2 linked regions of the Anolis sagrei genome follow. The protein of the gene in region 1 interacts with the protein of each later gene in a biochemical or structural test. Links are inferred from orthologs where the notes say so. Each region holds a gene or a part of one and is shown in the gene's direction. Other genes may lie near its edges.

What was found. The genes of interacting proteins can lie anywhere in the genome.
Region 2: the proteins of NGF (region 1) and NGFR form a complex in vitro, tested with the Homo sapiens proteins (2 studies listed by BioGRID and IntAct, with this or other methods). The link is inferred for Anolis sagrei from reciprocal best matches to the Homo sapiens genes NGF and NGFR.

What each region holds. Positions count from the first base shown.
Region 1 is NC_090024.1:203,801,685-203,811,943, reverse strand, and holds the start of NGF (beta-nerve growth factor), read left to right. Parts: upstream 1-5,736; 5' UTR 5,737-6,274; intron 6,275-10,259. UniProt on the Homo sapiens protein: Nerve growth factor is important for the development and maintenance of the sympathetic and sensory nervous systems.
Region 2 is NC_090026.1:32,149,356-32,159,606, reverse strand, and holds the start of NGFR (tumor necrosis factor receptor superfamily member 16), read left to right. Parts: upstream 1-5,593; 5' UTR 5,594-5,908; coding exon 5,909-5,986; intron 5,987-10,251. UniProt on the Homo sapiens protein: Low affinity receptor which can bind to NGF, BDNF, NTF3, and NTF4. Forms a heterodimeric receptor with SORCS2 that binds the precursor forms of NGF, BDNF and NTF3 with high affinity, and has much lower affinity for mature NGF and BDNF.

The sequences.
Region 1 (10,259 bases):
TGGAGGAAAGTGCTGAGAGTGCCTTGGACTGTGAGAAGATCCAACCAGTCCATCCTCCAGGAAATAAAGCCCGACTGCTCACTGGAGGGAAAGATACTAGAGACAAAGTTGAAGTACTTTGGCCACATCATGAGGAGACAGGAAAGCCTAGAGAAGACAATTATGCTGGGGAAAGTGGAAGGCAAAAGGAAGAGGGGCCGACCAAAGGCAAGATGGATGGATGGCATCCTTGAAGTGACTGGACTGACCTTGAGGGAGCTGGGGGTGGTAACGGCCGACAGGGAGCTCTGGCGTAGGCTGGTCCATGAGGTCACGAAGAGTCGGAGACGACTGAACGAATGAACAACAACAACAAGCTGTTCTTGCTTCCAGTTCCTGTGTGGCATAGTTTGGAGTCATGTAACCTTGCCTTTGGATATCTCTGTGGATTGACTTTGGAGACTTTCTTTTAATAAATTTTTGGACTCTCAGCATTTATGGAAATAACATTTTGAACTTTGATTCTCTCTTTTGAATTTGCTTGCTTTTTATATATTCTGCCTTTAATAAACTTTTACTTATTGGATTATATGGACAGTGTGTGGTTTGTAGTGAAAAGAGGCTTCAGGGCCCTAGTGAAACAGCAGCAATGGCAGCAACAACAGCAACAATCGACACAAACAAGTGTGGCTATCCAGTAGTAGAGCCTAACCAGGCTAAGCCCAACTGGGCAATCCAGACTTAATCCTGCTACTGCACAACGAAATGGGAAAGAGGAGGGTTCAATCTGGAGTACTGCCACTCCAGATTTAGGACATATTAAATGGCTCTTATAGAGGGACCCATCATTATCACTTTAGGGCGGAAACTAGCATGGTATATAGGTTAGACCAGGGGTCCTCAAACTATGGCCTGGGGGCCGGATACGGCCCTCCAAGGTCATTTACCCGGCCCTCGCTCAGAGTCAACCTTAGTCTGAAATGACTTGAAAGCACACAACAACAACAACCATCCTATCTCATCAGCCAAAATCAGGCCCACACTTCCCATGGAAATACTAATAAGTGTATATTTGTTAAAATTGTTCTTCATTTTAATTATTATATTGTTTTCATGTGGTTTTTGCACTACAAATAAGATATGTGCAGTATGCATAGGAATTCATTCATGTTTTTTTCAAATTATAATCCGATCCTCCAACAGTTTGAGGGACTGTGACCTGGCCCTCTGTTTAAAAGGTTTGAGGACCCCTTGGGTTAGATTATTAGATGAAGATGGAGCTCTCCCGCACCTTGAGCTTGATTTTCTTCACAAGGCTACTTTGACCTTCTTAGAGAAAATAAAAACTATGACTGTTGCAAGCAATTAATTAACCAACCAACCAACCATTACCACACTTTCTTGAAGGCACTTGTACAGTATGTATAGGCACTATGTAACAATAAGACAATACACCCACATGGAGACAGCACATCCTCATTTGGAAAGGGTTATCATTAGCAATCGCAACCTCATTATATTTCACTTGGCGTGATGCAGTCTTGAGGCAATATAAGCAAGTTAAACACTTCAAAACTATAAAATAATTACAATACATTTTAAAAGAGCTTAATCATCTTGAAAATAGGTTTAACAGGTTAGAACAGTCTAAAACCTAGTGCCTAAGTATCTTAGAGTGAGTCACTTACTCCCCAAATGCTTCTTATATTAGTCATGTTGATATATGGCACCTATATAAAGTTTTAATTGGCACCAGGTAAAGGCATTCCACAAGTGGCATATTACAAATGAGAAAGCCTCACACAGCATTGATCATATCAATGGGATACATAAGAGATCCCTTCTGGCAGGCTCTGTCATTGGGCAGACATATATAGAGATGAGTACTTCATTTCCCTGTATGTTTACAATAAGCATATTTAGGCAAAATCTAAGGAATAGCCATTAAGCTTTATGGAAGGGTGACCTAAGTGTCTGCTGCACTCAGTATGTGAGTAATGTCCAGGCCAGGCATGTATACCTTTCACACTTTAGTTGTGAGCTCTGTAAAGAACACTGTAAAGAATAATTTATTGCCTTGTTATTGATTAATTGTGCAATATGCTATTACTTATGCATACCACTCTGTAATTGACAGGCGTAGGCATAATTGGTTTACCCTGGCATGAACTTTCACAGAGGGTTCTTTGCTTTCTCTTATGCCTTGTTATTGATGAATTGTGCAATTTGCTATTACTTATATATACCACTCTGTTATTGACAGGCATAGGCATCATTGGTTTACCCTGGCATAGCTTTTGCAGAGGGTTCTTTGCTTTCTCTTATGCCTAAAGTGCACTGAGTTTCTTTTTCAATATTTTGAAACCAGAAGAAGGAGAATCCTGCCAAACTAAGGCAAGTTTGCTACCGGGCACAATTCAAAGTGCTAGCTTTAGCCTATAAAGCCCTAAACGGTTCTGGCCTAACTTACCTGTCTGAACTCACCGTCTCCTCTGAACCAGCTAGGGTGTTAAAATCGTCTGGGGAGGCCCTGCTCTCGGTCCCGCCAGCGTCACAAGTATGTTTGGCGGGGACGAGGGACAGGGCCTTCTCAGTGGTGGCCCCTCAGCTGTGCAACGCCCTCCCTACAGATATTAGATCACCCTCCTCCCTGTTGACATTTCGGAGGAAAGTGAAGACCTGGTTGTTCGAGCAGGCATTTGAATAGGCAGTGTAACGAACATAGGAATATGGAACAATTGGATTATGAGACTGGATCTTGATTTTAACTATGAGACGCTAATGAGATGTTTAATTGACTTATATTGACTGTTTATTATGCTATTGTTTTAATTGTTTATAACTGTTTTATGATTTTTTGAGCATTGCATTTTGCTATTGTTAACCGCTCTGAGTTGCCCCAGGGCTGAGAAGAAAATATAGTAAATAAATAAATAAATTTATTCTAGAAAGTATGGATTTATAATCTATGTATCTTGGCTTGCTGATGGTGATTAGCAATTTGTGGAAAAAAATTATTTTGACATTATAAATTAATATAATGTCCCAGCTTTTTAACGTCAGCTTGTTACTATTATATTGGTTGCACAGTACAGAGTCCCAGTCTCCCAAAAGTAACAATATTTATTATAACTGTTTACATGTCACCCTTTTAAGTTTTTTATCAGAAGTTTGCTTGATCATCTAATTCAACATTCAAACAGAGAATTCTCAGTTGGCACTCAATTGCTTTTCTGACAGTGGTAGTCCAATATCTCCTACTGAAAACTGTGCCACTACTGATAATCCCATTATTACCATTTCCCTGCATTACCCTTCCTCTTTCACCCTGCTTTCCTTCCAGCACACAAATATTTTGACTCCCTCTCTTGCCTTTCAGTTTGGCTGCCTATGCCATCTATTCTTACATAGAAATATTGGCACATGGTGCAGCAGCAGGATATGAAGAAGGATGATAGAAGAGGAGGAGGTAGTAGAAAGTTAAGGTCAGGCACCCTCAAACTACAACCCTCACTCCAGCTGTTTGTGTCTCTAGCTCCCAGAATTCTTGACTATTGAACAAGCTGGCTACGGCTTAGACTCATAGAATCATAAAGTTGGAAGAGACCTCATGGCCATGCAGTCCAACCCCCTGCCAAAAAGCAGGAAAATCACATTCAAAGCACTCCTGACAGATCGCCATCCAGCCTCTGTTTAAATGCCTCCAAAGAAGGAGCCTCTGCCACACTCCGGGGCAGAGAGTTCCGCTGCTGAACGGCTCTCACAGTTAGGAAGTTCTTCCTAATGTTCAGATGGAATCTCCTTTCTTGTAGTTTGAAGCCATTGCTCCATGTCCTAGTCTCCAGGCAGCAGAAAAAAAGCTTGCTCCCTCCTTCCTATGACTTCCCTTCACATATTTATAAATGGTTATCATGTCTTCTCTCACCCTTCTCTTCTGCAGGCTAAACAGCTAGAGGATGCCTGGTTATGATAATAACTCAGCCAATGAGGCAGGAGAAAAGAAAATGAGGGAGAAGTACAAGGGAACTTTAGAAAAAGAAAGGAGTTGAGGATGGAAAGTGTGTTTGGTGGTACCATGTAAGGAAACAGATAAATGAGGATGTGCAGGAGATGTGGTGAGTTAAAAGGGAAGGCGATCAAGCAAAAAGGGTGGTTGTCAGGCAATGAGGAAAAGAAGCAGCACAATTCACAATGTCCAGTGCTCTTCTTCCTCCAGCAAATCAATGAATGGCAAGAATAGAAATGACTTAGATCTTATTACACCACTAAAGTGTGATTTCTATAGGCATAGTATCCTTAAAATTGATACATGTCGTTTCCATGATTTCACTTGTTCACTTCGGCCTCCTGTACAAACTACCACTTCTTTTCAGCATCTCTAACATTCACAGGAACATACCCACCATGGATATTGGAGGGGATTGTCCTGTATTTCACCCCCCACCCCATCTTCCTTACTAGTACTTGCTTGGCCTCTGTCCCTCACTTTTTCCCCTCCGTGATGCTGCAGGAGGAAGACAGTGTGGCACAGAGTGAGGGAGCAACAAGGGAGTGTTTCACCATTGGCAGTGCTGTGCCCCCCCCCCCCCCAAGGATGAAAACTGGAGATAGCAGCAATAATGGTTCTGTAGGAAATGAAATTTTGGGGAACTGATGCCTTAGGGTATTTGGGTCCAGTTTGATCTTGGCAACCCAAAGAGAAACTGGATTGACTCCACTGAATATGTCATTTCTGCAAATAGCCCTGTTTCGAATTCAAATTTCTTCCCAAGAAGATCCAAAAGCAAACAAAGGTGGTGGCTTTGTACCTTGGTGTGGGGGCTGCTTCTTGGGGGGAGGCTGCCAACAAGGAGCAGATTCTTTAAGGGTTGTTTTCAGTGTTACAGATCACCAAAACGAATGGGCTTGAAACCCTTGAGGAAGTACACTGTTTCTTCCAAATACCATATATGTTTTTTCCATGTCAAGCATGACTTGAGAAACTGCAAGTTGTTTGTGGTGTGAGAGAATTGGCTGTCTGGAAGGACATTGCCCAGGGGGTGCCTGGATGTTTTGATGTTTTAGCATCCTTGTGGGAGCCTTCCCTCATGTCCCCGCATGAGGAGCTGGAGCTGACAGAGGAAGCTCTACCCACTCTCCCCAGATTCGAACTACTGACCTGTTGGTCATCAGTTCTCCTGGCACAAGGGTTTAACCCATTGTGCCACTGGGGCTCCCAAAGACCAATTGAAGGCACATGTATGTATACTGTATACCTTGTAGAAGGAAGGCAGTTTGACCAGAGGTCAGCTGCCATGGCTCCTTGCTACTGGATTTTAGTTGGGTGAGCCACCAGAGAAGGAGAAAGACTTTGTGAAATGTAATGGTATAGAACACATCGTCATGGCAATGAAAGTGGGGTTAAATTGCATTCATCCGACAGTGTAGATCAGGCTTGGGCAAACTTGGGCCCTCCGGGTGTTTTGGACTTCAACTCCCACCATTCCTAACAGTCACAGGCCCCTTCCTTTTCCCCCTAGATGCTTAAGCTTAAACCTGTTAGGAATGGTGGGAGTTGAAGTCCAAAACACCCGGAGAGCCCAAGTTTGCTCAAGCCTGGTCTAGATGCCCTCGTAGGCGATTTCAACCAGACAGTCCTGGTGTCCGGAGCTTGTTGCGGATAAGCGAAGACCTGGTGCCAGGTCAGGCACGATGGGCGTGGACGGCTGGGTGGGTGGACCTCGAGGCGTCGGGGAAGCCCCGTGGGCGGCTGCTGTCCCTCCTCAGGAGACAGGAGCCGGGGCCCCTCGCCCGGTATGAAAGCGGGGCGGGCGGGAGGAGGAGGCGGCAGAGAGAGGCAGGCGCTCTTCTTTCTCTCCCGCGACGTGTCCCGCGCGCCTTCCCTGGGACTCACTCAGTCAGAGCCGGCCAGCGAAGGAAGGAGTGAGTGAGTGAACGAGCGAGTGAGCGGCCCTCGGGGGAATCTTCCCGCGCGAGTCTGGGCAGCTCGCTCCTCGGCTTTGATGGCGCTAGGACCCAGGCGGAGCGCGAGCGGGAGGCCGAGGGAGAGCGCCCCCGGGGCTGCGTGAGTCAGTCCGACCGACCTACCGTCCGACCATCCGTCCGAGGAGCGCCGTCGGAGTCGAAGGGCAGCGCGCGGTGGATGAGGCTGGGGCGCGCGGTGGCGAAGTGGATGGCTCGCGGGCGCCGGGGGAGCGGCTCGAGGGTTCGCGGAAAGCGGGGCGGCCACGGAGAAGAGAGCAGCACCGGCACCAGCTCCTCCTGAAGGGGATCTCTCTCCACCTGCCCGCCGGAGGTGAGTGAGTGAGTGAGCGAGGGAGGGAGGGAGTGGGACCAGCACAGCCTGGGCGACTTGTGCCCCCGGGCAAACTCCAAGGGCGCCTCTTCTGTACTGTAGTCGAATGAATGCCGTTGAATGGGCAACACTTGAACTGCCCTTGAACTGGCTCGGGGCTGTCTTTCGCCTTTCAGAGATTCCAGACCACACATCCCAGGAGTGCCAAGCCTCTCCTTGGGGCCCTAAGCCACCCTTGGGAAATTGCTCCTTTTCTGTCTAAGGTACAGACAATACAGTTGGGAACTACATTATGGCGTTAGTGTAGGATCTATATACAGTAGAGTCTCGCTTATCCAACCTTCCCTCATCCAACATTCTGTATTATCCAATGTAGTCTGCTTCCTGCCCTGATCCACAGCTGTTTCAATACATTGCAATGTTTTGCTGCTAAATTCGTAAATATAGTAATTACTAGAAAACGTATCATGTACTGAACTGCTTCTTCTGTCAATTTGTTATAAAACATGTTTTGGTGCTTAATTTGTAAAATCAGAACATAATTTGGCATTATATAGGCTTTTGCTTAATCCCTCCTTATTATCCAACATTTTCGCTTATCCAGCATTGTTCCGGCCCATTTATGTTGGGCAAGCAAGACTCTACTGTAGTTGCATGCAGTTAAACTGCATTATATGGGTCTACACCACCCATAATCAGCCTTCCATGTGTTCTGGACCTTAACTCCCTTAATTCCTAACAGCCGATGGGAGCTAAAGTTGGGCCCACTTTCATCTTGGCAACCCAAAGAGAAACTGGATTCACGCCACTGAACATGCAATTTCTGCAAATGGCCCTGTTTCAACTTCCAAGCCCCATTCCCAAGAAGATCCAAAAGCCAACAGAAGTGGTGGCTTTGGAGCCAAGGAGCAGGTTCTTCAGGGGCTGTTTCCAATATTACAGGTCATCAAAACGAATGGGCTTGAAACACCTGGAGGGCCCAAGTTTGCCCATCCCTGGTCTATACTGACGCTATAATGCAATATCCAAATTGCAATATCTGGCAGTGTAGATCCAGGCAAAAATCCCTGGTTAAAAAGTCCCGCAGCCTCTATTAATAGCTCCAGGAGGGGAGTCTGGAGGGTAGGTTTGTTGTAAACCACTTTGAGTCCCCCCAGGGATAAGAAAAGCGGGATATAAATACAGTAAATAAATAACATAAATAGATTTGCAGCAGGCCTTTGCTAAGTGCAGGGTTCGTTTTCCAAAAACCAAGGGCACGAGAAGCCCATATTGATGCCATTAGTATGAAACACCACGCATGAATGTGACCTTCTGCTGTAAGTCAGTGCAAGATTGCCACTCTTTCCTCCTCTCCTTTACAGTTTTTAAGACAGCAATAGACACTGCATTTCTAAATCAGTTGATTCTCCCTCTTTTATCCCTCAAGCAATGAACTCCTCGCTGTCTGCCTAGCAGGGGCAGGATGGAAACGGATGGTATTCATTGATTTATGCTTCAGGACTGGGCTCTGTGTGTGAGTGAGTGTGTTTGACACCAGACAGTGGTTGAAAGAGTTGAAAGGGAGGGGGAAGGATAAGAAGAGTTTTGAATTTGCAGTTTGTTGGAAATTGGTGGCATTATTTCTCCTTCCACTGAACCTCAGAGCATTTCCATGTTTTCTCAGAATATTTGGAATTTTAAGAACAAATGCCTAAATAAGAGTGTGCTTGTTTGCTATGTGCTTTTCTGCAGTGTTGGAACTAGGAAAGTTTGCAGACATCAGAGGGTACTGGTGGAAAACCTTTTGTGGTATGAACTAAGGCTCTGTGTATGATTTCTTGTGTGAATCCCAGTAACAAAGTCTCTTCTGTTGACCTGAGAAGTTGCTAAAACTTTGAGATCCTGGTTGTTTTTGTTCTTAGAGATTTGTTCTTAAACTCCTCCTGACAGCTTCACTTGTGCAGATGCATTAAAGCCACCTGGTTTCAGTGATGTCTTCTGTTTGGTCAACAACTTCATAATTGGATTGTTGTGAGTTTTCCGGGCTGTATGGCCATGTTCCAGAAGCATTCTCTCCTGGCATTTTGCCTGCATCATTTTCCTAATTTCCAACAGACTCCAGAACCTCTGAGGATGCCTGTCATAGATGCAGGCAAAATGTCAGGAGAGAATGCTTCTGGAACATAGCCATACAGTCTGGAAAACTCACAACAACCTAGTGATTCCGGACATGAAAGCTTTTGACAATACAACTTCATAATTAAATGATTCAACCGTGATGACCTTTCTGTGTCATTGCATAGATAGAGTGCTGCAGTGAAATGAAATCTATAGACTGTAGTAAAATCACATCATGATGGTCCATGGAAGTATTATCTGAAAGATCTTAAACCAGGATAAATAAGTGCCAGGGGCCAGATGAGTTAGATGAGACACATGCCTTGGCGAAGAGAACGGGGACCGTAATCTCCACTTTCTGAATCACTGCTTAACAATCCAAGGAACATCTGGAGACATTGCTCAGCGATATAGTCACTTTCAAAGGGGTATGTGGAATTGGGATAATGATTATTCAACAACTTCAGAAATGCAGGGAACTCGCCCTAAAGGGACAGAATCTGTTTCATGGTAGAAGTCATGTTGACGGCTGCTCATTACTCCATCCCAGCACTAGATCAGCTCCGAGTTCACAGTTTTGCTTAACAGCATTCACCTGCTGCTGCTGCCGCCTCTTCTTGGTGAATTGATTTCAGATTCATTTAAAACATTGCCAGGAGCTCAAGGATTTTTCATCGCCCCATAAAAATGCTTTTATGGCCTACAGAGCCAGTCCCAGTTTTAAAGAAGGAGTATTTCATATATGCATTACATTGTCAGAGTTTAGATTCAAAAAATCTAGCCTCGTTCTGTGTTGATGTTACCTTTCTTTTATGGAACAAAATGAAGGCACAAATTAGAATGGTGTTGTCTGCTTAATGGGATAAAAATTACTTTGATAATGGTTTGCTGTGAATTTTCTGGGCTGTATGGCAAGGTTCCCGAAACATTCTCTCCTGACGTTTCACCCACATTGGCAGGCATCCTGAGGTCTGTTGGAAACTAGGCAAGTGGCATGTCCATTTGCGAACTAATACTTTGATATCAGTTTGTAATCACTCAGTAGACATCAAAATTATGTTGTGTTGCTTTCAAAAGAAGCAATGTTTCTTTCAAGATTCCTGTACATATTCATTATTTTCAGTTTAAGAGCTGAAATGTACTGTCTTGTTAGCACTAATGTATTTAGTCCTTCCAACCCCCAATTGAGGGGGGAAATGTTGCTCAAATGTCATCAAACAAAACTTACAGATTCTGTCACATCATTGGTTCAGTTTGTGGTTGGGAGGATGATGTAGTGTCTTTCCCAGAGCTCCAAACCACCACTTTCCATTTTTCTGATTTTTTTGGAAAAAAAGGTATCATTCCATTTAAAGCAATGGGGACCTCTGCTGGCAATTCCAATCTAGCAAATACACGCTGAGTGCAGTAATCTGATAAACATGAATTGTCCCTGATTGGTTTAATAACCTCCATTAAAGAAAGTTACAAAATGCTAAGTAAACATACCCAGAAATAAGTTGCATTGACATTAATGAGGTTTGCTTCTGAATAAATGCACTTATAGGGATTGAGCTGGAGTTTTTTTTTATAAACATTATTTTTTAAAAAATCTCTCCAGATGTGTTCTTAGGTTTTGTGTGGAACTGCGAGGCAGATTCTTTACAGATAAGATTTTTTGTTTTATGCTGTATGCCAGAAAACCCTCCTGATTTTGTCTGCAGAGTGGAGGAGTAATTTTAATAATACAACAAAATTTCAGGGTCGGGAAATTGTGCCACATTTCATTCTGGCATTTCAGATGGAAACAGTTGACTCTGTTATAGGTTAAACATTAAACCGTTCATCGTCTGGAATTAATTAATCTACAGAAAGACAAGTGGGGCTTTTGGGTCTCCCCCACTCC
Region 2 (10,251 bases), on another chromosome or scaffold:
GTGGCCTCCACCACACTCCGGGGCAGAGAGTTCCACTGCTGAACGGCTCTCACAGTCAGGAAGTTCTTCCTAATGTTCAGGTGGAATCTCCTTTCTTGTCATTTGAAGCCATTGTTCCACGTCCTAGTCTCCAGGGCAGCAGAAAACAAACTTGCTCCCTTCTCCCTATGACTTCCTTCCTCTCACGTATTTATACATGACTATCATGTCTCCTCTCAGCCTTCTCTTCTTCAGGTAGTTGGGTCTATAAACAATATGTGTTATTAATACTCACATACAGTTTGTCAACTGGAAACATCAGGCTTGTAAGCTACTTACTCACTTATCACTTGATAAGTAAGTAGCATGTGTGTGTGTGTGTATAAATATAGCTATGACTTTTACCTCAGCCACATTGTTTTATGATGTTGTCTTGACTGTATTTTGTTTTATTATTATACTTGATTGGTTTCAATGCATTGTATTTTATCTGTGATTTTTGGGCTTGTGTCCTTTGTTTGGTTATTTCCAGTTGCTAAACCTTTTTGGATTATATATATTTCTTATTCTGGTTTTTATATGCTTTTTATATGTTTTTACAATAATCAGTTTGCTTGTATTCCTAGACTCTTGTGTGGTGCAGTGGTCATAGATGTTTCCAGACCTGGAGTGCAACACCAAAGGCAAATTCTTTAAACTATAGCCATTTAAAAGATGCTTCTGATGTGTATTTGTATTTTTTTTAAGATATACTTTATTTCATCCATCATCAGCCCTAGGTTTAGAGAAGATTTATCAATGTAAGAGGGAACTTCCTGAGTAAATGGTCAAGCTGGTATTCATTATTAAAGCCATCAGAAATTTAATGAGCAACTAGAGAGTCCACTGCAGCCAAATCATACTCCAGCGTGCTGCTGAAGTGCTACAGCCAGCATCTCCTGTCTCTCCAGAATTGCTTTGGGTAAAATACAGAAGTTATGGTGTTTGAAAATGTCTTTCTTTAAACAAGTAGGCAATGTAGTCTTTCATGGCCACAGGACTGGAACTGAGATGGCAGATGCTTTCATGAACGAAAGAGGCAAGGCAGGCCAGGCCAAATCCAGTTAGCTCTGAGCTTGCGCATAAAAGAAGGATAATTTTGTTGAGTAAGACAATAAGACCTTTGTTTCTGTTATTATTGATCTTATAGAGGACGCAGAAAGGAGTTGTCTGAGATCAGGCAAGAGAAAAACATCTTGAAAATGCTCAGACTAAAACAAAGTGGTTTAAAAATAGGGCTGGACTAGCCATTAAGCAGCATGAACCAACTGCTTCAGGCAACAGTTTTTAAAAGGAGACTCCTTTTCCTGAGTTTTCTCCATCAGTGTGCAATTGTACATACTTCAGAGCATTTCGACTTTTGAAAATTCAAGTTCAAAAACATTTTTAACATATAGAAAGGGCTATGCTTTCCTGTATACGTGTCATTTCAAGTTGCCTGCTGACTTGGTGGTGACCCAAGAATTGCCTAGGGTTTTCGTAGGCTGAAAAATTGTCTACTGACATTTGTTGGCAGTCTCCTGTCACCAGGGCTGAATCTGATTCTCTTCCAAGATCAGATGGGCGCATTTAGAGCATTTAGGCCACCCCTTTTGGCATCTATCTTGACCATATTATGCCTCTGTTAATTTACAATATTGTTCTGACATGTTATATTATGCAGGGCAAGGAAGGTGGTGCTTGAGGGTGGAAAATCCCAATGGATGTTCCCTCCCACTGCTGACCTTTTACTGACATTCCAGCAACTGGTCCAGCCCATGAATAGAGAGGGCAAATGCAGTGCAGGGGAGCTGTATGAAGTTTGTTCAGAAGAACATCCCAGCAACTTGAGCCTCATAGGTCAAATTTGTCTGCTTTCCACACCATCTGCCTTCACAATACCACCCATGAAGGAGATGTTGTCTTATCTCCTGGTAGAATGGGCTCTCTTATGAAATAATCTGGGATGTAGGGCAGGGTGTATAAAACAATGGAAGATTGAACTTTGGCTAAGTCTATGGTCATCACTCTGGTCAATTTTCCTTCCTTTTCAAGCATTCCCTATTTTGGTCTTCATTTTTCCCTCAGCTAGAAGAGAGCCAATGATGAAGACAGTGACAATTGATGCTGTTTATGGACAAGTGAATCCGCTCTGGAATTTTGTCTATATATCTATTTTGGAACAGGGTGTTGTATCTTGGTTAGCTCATGCAAATTTCAAACTAAAAGCCAGAGCAGATTTACATATGCACAAGCTCCAACAAGGAATCCACTAGCTAGTGGTTCCCAACTTGTGGTCCTTGCACCACTAGTGGTCCTCAAGAACAAAAAATATGGTCCACAGCCTCACCATTACTACACCATTGCAACGAGAGCAACTGGCCTCGCGAAAACCTCTTATAGTACCGAGGCTTATTAAATATGGTTTTCTGTGGGTGAGCAGATGGTGACTACTGGATGGCATATGTTCTGTATCAGAAACTAGAGCTGATATGGTCTATCCAATGCAACCTTTTGAATCAGCACCCCAAATAACCAAACCGAATCTAAGTTGACCAAAAACTGATTTGTAACCCTTTTGGTAGTAATGTTGGAGAGTGGTCCCTGGTCAAAGTGGTTCCTGTTCAAGTGGTCCCTTGTCAAGTGGTGCCTGTTTAGGTGGTCCCTGGTCAAATGGTCCCTGGTTAAAGTGTCCCTGGTTCAAGTTGTCCCTGGTCAAAGTGGTCCCTGGTCAAGTGGTCCCTAGTCAAAGTGATTCCTGGTCAAGTAGTCCCTGTTCAAGTGGTCCATGGCCAAAGTGGTCTTTTGTTCAAGTGGTCCCTGGTCAAGTGGTTTCTGGTCAAGTATTTAAAACATTTATATTCCGCCCTTCTCACCCCAAAGGGGACTCAGGGCGGAGCATATATATGGAAAACATTCAATGCCAGAACAATAATTAATTGTATGCATACATAAACATTCAAAACATTTATCTTGATATTTTCTTTACCCATGCCTGTCTAATGCTAAGAGAATATGACTTGCCCATGGTCACCTCATGAATTTTTATGGGCGACTTCAGCTCTCCAGATTTGGGAGTCCCACATGCAAACTACTATCTTGAGGAATTACCAAGCCACCTAAGGCCACCCGTAAGTTGCTATGATTGAGTTTAGATTCAAACGCTGGTCTCCAGATTCATTGTCCAAACACTCAGACTCCCTTTACACTGCTATATAATCCACATGATCTGCTTTGAACTGGATTATATGAGCCTACACTGCCATATAATCCAGTTCAAAGCAGATAATCTGGATCTTATATGGCAGGTAGAAGGAGCTTAGTTGGCTTCTATTTTGCATATCCTTCAGAAATCGGGTGTCCTAACAAATTTGTGAACATCCTGCGGCTCCTCCATGATGACATGATGGCAACAGTCTTGGACAGCAATGGTTCCCAAAGTGACCCATTTAAGGTGGAATCAGGTGTCAAACAGGGATGTATTATTGCCCCAACTTTATTCTCCATCTTCATTGCTATGATGCTTCACCTTGTTGACTGGAAGTTTCCCACCAGAGTGGAAATCATCTATAGGACAGATGGCAAGCTATTTAACCTCAGCAGCCAGAAAGCCAAAACTAAGGTCACAACACCATCTGTTATAGAATTCCAGTATGCTGATGACAACATCATCTGTGCGCAATCAAAAGAAGATCTACAAGCCACTCTATACACCTTCACAGAAGCATACGAGAAGCTTGGCATGTCATTGAACATCGAGAAAACCAAAGTGCTCTTCCAGCAGTCACCAGCCAATCCCTCTCCAATGCCAGAAATACAGCTTAATGGTGTGACATTAGAAAACGTTGACAATTTCCTCTCCCTTGGCAGCTACCTCTCCACAAAAGTCAACATTGACACCGAAATACGACACCGCCTGAACTCTGTGAATGCAGCTTTTTCTGAATGAAGCAGAGAGTGTTTGAGGACCAGGACATTTGTAGGGATACCAAGGTTCTTGTTTAGGGTTAGGGTTAGGGTTAGGGTTAGCGGCCGACAAGGCACTCTGGCATGGGCTGGTCCATGGGGTCACAAATAGTCGAAAACTATTGATTGAATGAACAACAACAAACTCAAAGAAGCTACCTAAGTTTGCTGGGTGAATAAGGTTCAGTCCCTTTTGAAAATGTCTTTAAATGTTAGACTAAAATCCTGATTGAATCACTACCATACTGAAATGGAATTCATCAGCCAGAACTGAGATGCAGTGAGGAAAAAAACCCCTATTATTCCAATTAGTGCAGGAGTCTGGACAAAGTCAGGAGTGAGAGCTAAAGAGCAACAAGGATCAGGGGAAAGTCAAGAGGCAGGACCAGAGAACAAGACAATGCTTGTTTCAGTTGGTTTTGTTAAAGGAATTATCCAAGGTGCTAAACCTATTTGGATTCACCAAAATAGATTTAGCACCTATGATCCAGACGTTTTCCAGCTTTCCAAGACCTAAATGACGTGTGGAATGGGGGAGATGATCGCAAATTGTGCCTTCTGGAGATCCCTGAAGACAAAATTCTCTATTTTTGGCTAGAAAACTTTAGTTTGCGCATATGGAAGGCAGAAAGACAGGGGCAATGAAGGGATCCTGTGAGAGCATATTATTAGACTAGATAACCCATTATTGTTGTGTGCTTTCAGTTTTTCTCCAACTTATGTCGACTCTATCATAGAATTTTCTTGGCAAGATTTATTCACAGGAAGGTTGCTTTTGCCTCTGCTGAAGCTGAGAGAGTGTGACTTCCTTAAGATCATCCAGTGGGTCTCTGTGGCTGAATGGTGATTCGAACCCTAGTCTTCAGATTCATAGTCTACTCCGAACTCAAGAACGGAGAACGGAATGTTGGTGGGCAGGAAAAGAGATTTAAAGATGGGCTCAAAGCCAACCTTAAAAACTCCGGCATAGACACTGAGAACTGGGAAGCCCTGGCCCTTGAGTGCTCCAGCTGGAGGTCAGCTGTGACCAGCAGTGCTGCAGAATTTGAAGAGGCACGAATGGAGGGCGAAAAAGAGAAGCATGCCAAGAGGAAGGTGCATCAAGCCAACCCTGCGGAAGAAGATGCAGATCAAGAATAGAGCTCCACAGTCACCTACGGATCTACTGCCAGTACACCAATCTTGGAAGACTATCCTACTTGGACAATGAGGGATCGCCTAAGAAACGTAAGGAAAAGTAGCATCTCCATAATGCAGGATCTTGAAGAGGGGACTCAAATTTCCACAGGAAATTCATTCTCCTTATATACAGGCAAATATTTACGGTATTTTTTAATCATTTTGCCCATTAAACAAAGTGTGTCCCTTGGACCATCTATAAGCAAAGGCATCACTCTTTCAGCCAACCATGCTGGAGCATTTCAGCTCTGGGAGAGTGCGTTTGAAGCGACTTCCACACCTTGATAGAGTTCCCCACCTTTGAGAATGAACCTTTGGGAGAATTTTAGAAGATAATATGGGAGTCCGTTGAAAATGCAAGGCAAGGCGGGTGCCTTTTTCGGCGGCGTGCTCGCCTTGGGGAAGCTTTGGCTGACGAGGAGAAAAGGGGAGGCGCTCCCCGCTCTCCGTGGCGTGGATTTGAAGCCACCCAGCCAGTGGGAGGAGAGCATTGATCGCTTTAATAATCATCATAACAGTAATCGGAATAATACAAAAAAAGGGGGCTGAGCTTCCCAGTTACAGAAAGCAGGTGCTGTCCGGGCTGCCTCTCAGTTTCAGCAACTGCTGGAAAGGCGGCGGCGGCAGCGGGCTCCGGGCTCCGAGGCGCCCCCAAAGCGCTCTACCGGGGCATGTAGAGGAAGAGTCCCGCCTCGGCTTCTTCTCTAGCCTTCGTCCTCCTCCTCTTCTTCTTCCTCCCCTCGGCTTCCCTCGGGGAACCACGACCATGGAGCAGGAAAAGAAGCCGCACCAGCAGCACCGGCACCGGATCGCGCTCCTCCTGGGCTTCTTGCTGCTGGCCGCGGTGAGTGGAAACGGGCCCGAGCGGCACCCACGGTCTACCCTATCCAAAGTCTACCCTTTTCTCCCTCCTGAAGGGGAAAGGAGAGAAGTAGGGAGCGAGTCTCAAAGGGGCGCAAATCCCCATTTCTGAGTGGTTTGTTGTGGGAGGCTTGCACTATTGCTTTGGAAAGCCCTGCGGGGGAATGATGGGTTTTTTTAAGGGAGTTTGTTGTTGTTTCTCCTCCTCTTCTTTTTCTACTTCTCTTCCTTCTCCCTCTAACACCACTACTTCTTCTTCTCCCTCTTCCTCCTCCCTCTACCACTACTATTAGTACTACTACTGCTTCTTCTCTTCCCTCTCCTCTCTCCTTCTTCCTCCTCCTTCCATCACCACCACCGTTGATGCTACTTCTCCACCACCTTTCTCCTCCTCCTAACTCTACTAACCCAATTTCTTCTCTTCTGCTTCTTCCTCCTCCCCTCCTCTACTTCCTCACTCTACCTCTACTTCTTCCTTCCTTCCTCTTCCTCCTCCTCCTCCTCCTCCTCCTCTACCACCCGTTTCTTCTGCTGCTGCTTCCTCCTCCTCCACCTCTTCTTCTTATCCCCTCCCCTCTTCCTCCTCTTCCTCTCCTCCTCGTAACTAGCATCCGTTTCTTCTGCTGCTTCTTCCTCCTCCTCACTCTACCTCTTCTTATCCCCTCCCCTCCTCCTCCTCTTCTTCCTCCTCTTTCTCTCCTCCTAACTCTACCACCCGTTTCTTCTGCTCCTTCCTCCTCCTCCTAACTCTACCACCCGTTTCTTCTGCTTCTTCTTCTTCCTCCTCCTCTTCACTTACTTCTTCTTATCCCCTCCCCTCTTCCTCCTCTTCCTCTCCTCCTAATTCAGCCACCCGTTTCTTCTGCTCTCTCTTCTTCTTCCTCCTCACTCTACCTCTTCTTCTTATCCCCTCCCCTCTTCCTTTTCCTCCTCTTCCTCTTCTTCTAACTCTACCACCCGTTTCTTCTGCTCTCTTCTTCATCCTCCTCCTCCTCACTCTACCTCTTTTTACCCCCTCTTCCTCCTCATTCTACCAACCGTTTCTTCTGCTGCTTCTTCCTCCTCCTCACTCTACCTCTTCTTCTTATCCTCTCCCCTCTTCCTCTCCTCCTCCTAACTCTGCCACCCCTCATTCTTCTGCTTCTTCCTCCTCCCCCTTCTCCTCTGTCTCTTTCTACCACCAGTTTGTTGCTTCTCTTCCTCCTCCTCCTCCTTCTAAGTCTACCACCAGTTTCTTGTCTCTGTTTTCTCCTCCTCCTCACTGCCTCTTCTTCTTTCTCCTCCTCCTCTCCACCTAACTGTCACCCGTTTCTTCTTCTTCTTCTTCTTCTTCTTCTTCTTCTTCTTCTTCTTCTTCTTCTTCTTCTTCTTCTTCCTCCTCCTCTTCCTCACTTTACCATTTCTTCTTCTACCCCCCCCCCCTTCTTCTCCCTCCTCTGCCTTTCTTCTTTCTCCTCCTTCTTGGATGCCAGAGCGCTCCAGGACGTGGTTGGCTCCTGGGTCATGAGTCCGTTTTGGGGTGTGTGGGTATCCTGGGTGAACTTTTTTGTGGGAAGTGAGGTTAAGGGGAGTGACGAGTCCTTCTCCCCTACTCAGGTTCCCCATGAGAAAGAGTGAGAGGAAGCGGGGAGGGGGGAGAGGAGGGGGATTTTGATGCGCCCCAAGACTGTCTATTCCTTCCAAACCAGTGCGGATGGTCCAGGAGGGGCGAAGGGTGGATGGGTGGGTCTTCCCGAGAACAACAACATGAAGAAGAGGGCATCACCACGCCTCCCACTTCTATATAATGGCATCCTTCCTCGGAGACACTATAAGGCTTGAGAGACCGGAGGGAAGGGCTGGGGAGAGTTGCCTTTGAGGCTCTCACTTCCTTAGCAATACTTGGATGCTGCTGTTTCCTACCAATGCTGGCACCAAAGTGAATCTCTAACAGGGCTTTCTTGGCAAGATTTCTTCAGAGGCTTCCTCTGAGGCTGAGAGAGTGTGCCTTGTCCAAGGTCATCCAGTGGGTTTCTAAGACTGAGTAGGGATTTCAAATCTGGTCTCCAGGGTCACCCTTCAAGCCAGGACACCACACTTTTAGCAGCAATACCAGGCAGATTTTTGAATATATTGTAATACAATGACATTTGTAATATTATAGCCTGCCTCTGTCATATTGGTTATCCCTACTAAGCAGTTGACCAAGCTGTTGATTGACCAGAGAGCAGTGAAGCAAATCTAATTGCTTTAATGGGTCTCTTCTAGCAGCAACTATTGTGCTTCCCTTTAAGGCAGGGGAAATATTGTGAGCTGGAGTTACAATCTGGGGCAAAAAAGTGAATGGAGATATTTTTTTAAAAAAACAGCTTCTATTTGAAAATGTCAAAGTGTGCCAGGGCTTGTGGGAGGGATGTATTTATGACTACAGTCCTTACACTTACTCTGGTCCCATTGTATTCAAAGGATTTTACTTTAGAGTAAATGTGTTAACAGATTGCTCTACAATATTTTGAAAATCCCAGCAAGAACTGGGAAAGGTGCTCTAGGGACTGAGGAATGGATCCAAAAATGTATCAAGGGAAAGAGTCTTTAATGCTCATGTTTGATATCTACCGATATTATAAATACAGTGTGATGCTGGACTTTGGACCCTGGGAATCAGGGTTCGAATCCTGCTCAGCCATGGAAACCCATTGGATGACCTTACAGCACTCACACCCTCTCAGTGTCAGAGAAAGGCAATGTTACCCACCCCCAGACAAATCATGCCAAGAAAAGCCTGGGATAAGTCTGTTTTAGAGTTGCCATAAATTGGAAATGACTCAAAGGCACACAAGAAGGAGAAGAATATACTGTGGACAGCATCACACTAGAGAATGAACCCACTTTAAATCTGGTTTCTGCCTTCTACAGAATTCTGAGCTTTGTAGTTTAGTGAGGTGTTAAAGGCTCCTCCCTAAACTACAAACCCCACAATTCGGCAGGAGGCAGCCACTGTATTTAAAGTGGATTCATCCTCTAGTGTGATGAAGTAGGGTTTTTTTTTAATGCAGAAGCATTACTTCAACCCTTAATTGTGATTATAAGATATCAGCATCACCATCACCATCTTCATCATTGCTATTGTGGAGCCCCCTTGTGCTGGCAGGTCAGCCATTCAAATCTGAGGAGTGGGGTGAGCTCCCACCTGTCAGCTCTAGCTTCTCATGCAGAACATGAGAGAAGCTTCCCACAGGTTGGTAACACATCCAGGCGTCCCTTGGACAACGTCCTTGCAGATGGTCAATTCTCTCACACCTGAAGCAACTTGCAATTTCTCAAGTCGCTCCTGAAAAATTGCTATTGTGTCAGTATCATTGTGGGATGCAAGGGAGAACAGGATGGTTACCCTATTAGAGGAAGTGTAAAGGTATTCATTATCTATAATGCAAGTGGAGACCAAATTCTTACCCATATTTCTTTTCCTTTCCGATAGATAAAGCAGGGTATACATAATAATAGCCACTCAACAACACTGTTTTTTGATTGGTTTAACCTTGATTAATTTGCAAGTGAGGCTAAACAGAGGACCTCGAATTTGTGCCCATAACTCTAGGCACACCCTAGGGCAGTTTGGCAGTAAAGAAAATCTATATATGATCAGAGGCTGCCTTTCCTTTGTTCCTATCACCTTCCTTTTTCTGGATAGTTAATATGAAAAACAAATGTCTAAGGTTAAGGCTTTGCTTAAATTAACATTGTTTGAAGGAAACAATGTAGAGGGATGTCACAGTAAGAGATGGGCCATGGGTTATGGGGATGATAGGCATTTGGGTTTGAATAGTTGAATGCAAGAAGCAGATGTCAGGACTTTACCACAAGATCTGGCATTATGGCAGGTATTTGAGAGGGAAGTCTTAGTTTCTATAACCAGGCATCTTTCTTAACATTATACTAAGAGTTCGGTAGAAATCAGGCAAAGAATTGGAAAACTTCGTTCTTGGATTACAGCTCTCAGAATCCTCCAATCCAGAAAGTCACTGGGTGTAAGAATCTGTGGGTTATAGCCTCAAGTTCATGGCTATGATGATGGGGGAATCTGGAAACTGTAATTCACAAAGTGACATTTCCAAGCTGTGATTCAGTTCTGGTATCCATTTTAAGGGTGCATTCTGAGGTGAATTAAATAGTCTTCACATGCTCACAAGCTGAGAATGTTTTGAGCATGTGAAGAGAATGTGTGCCAAATTTTTTTGTACCTCATAAACACAAGCAAGCCATACTAGG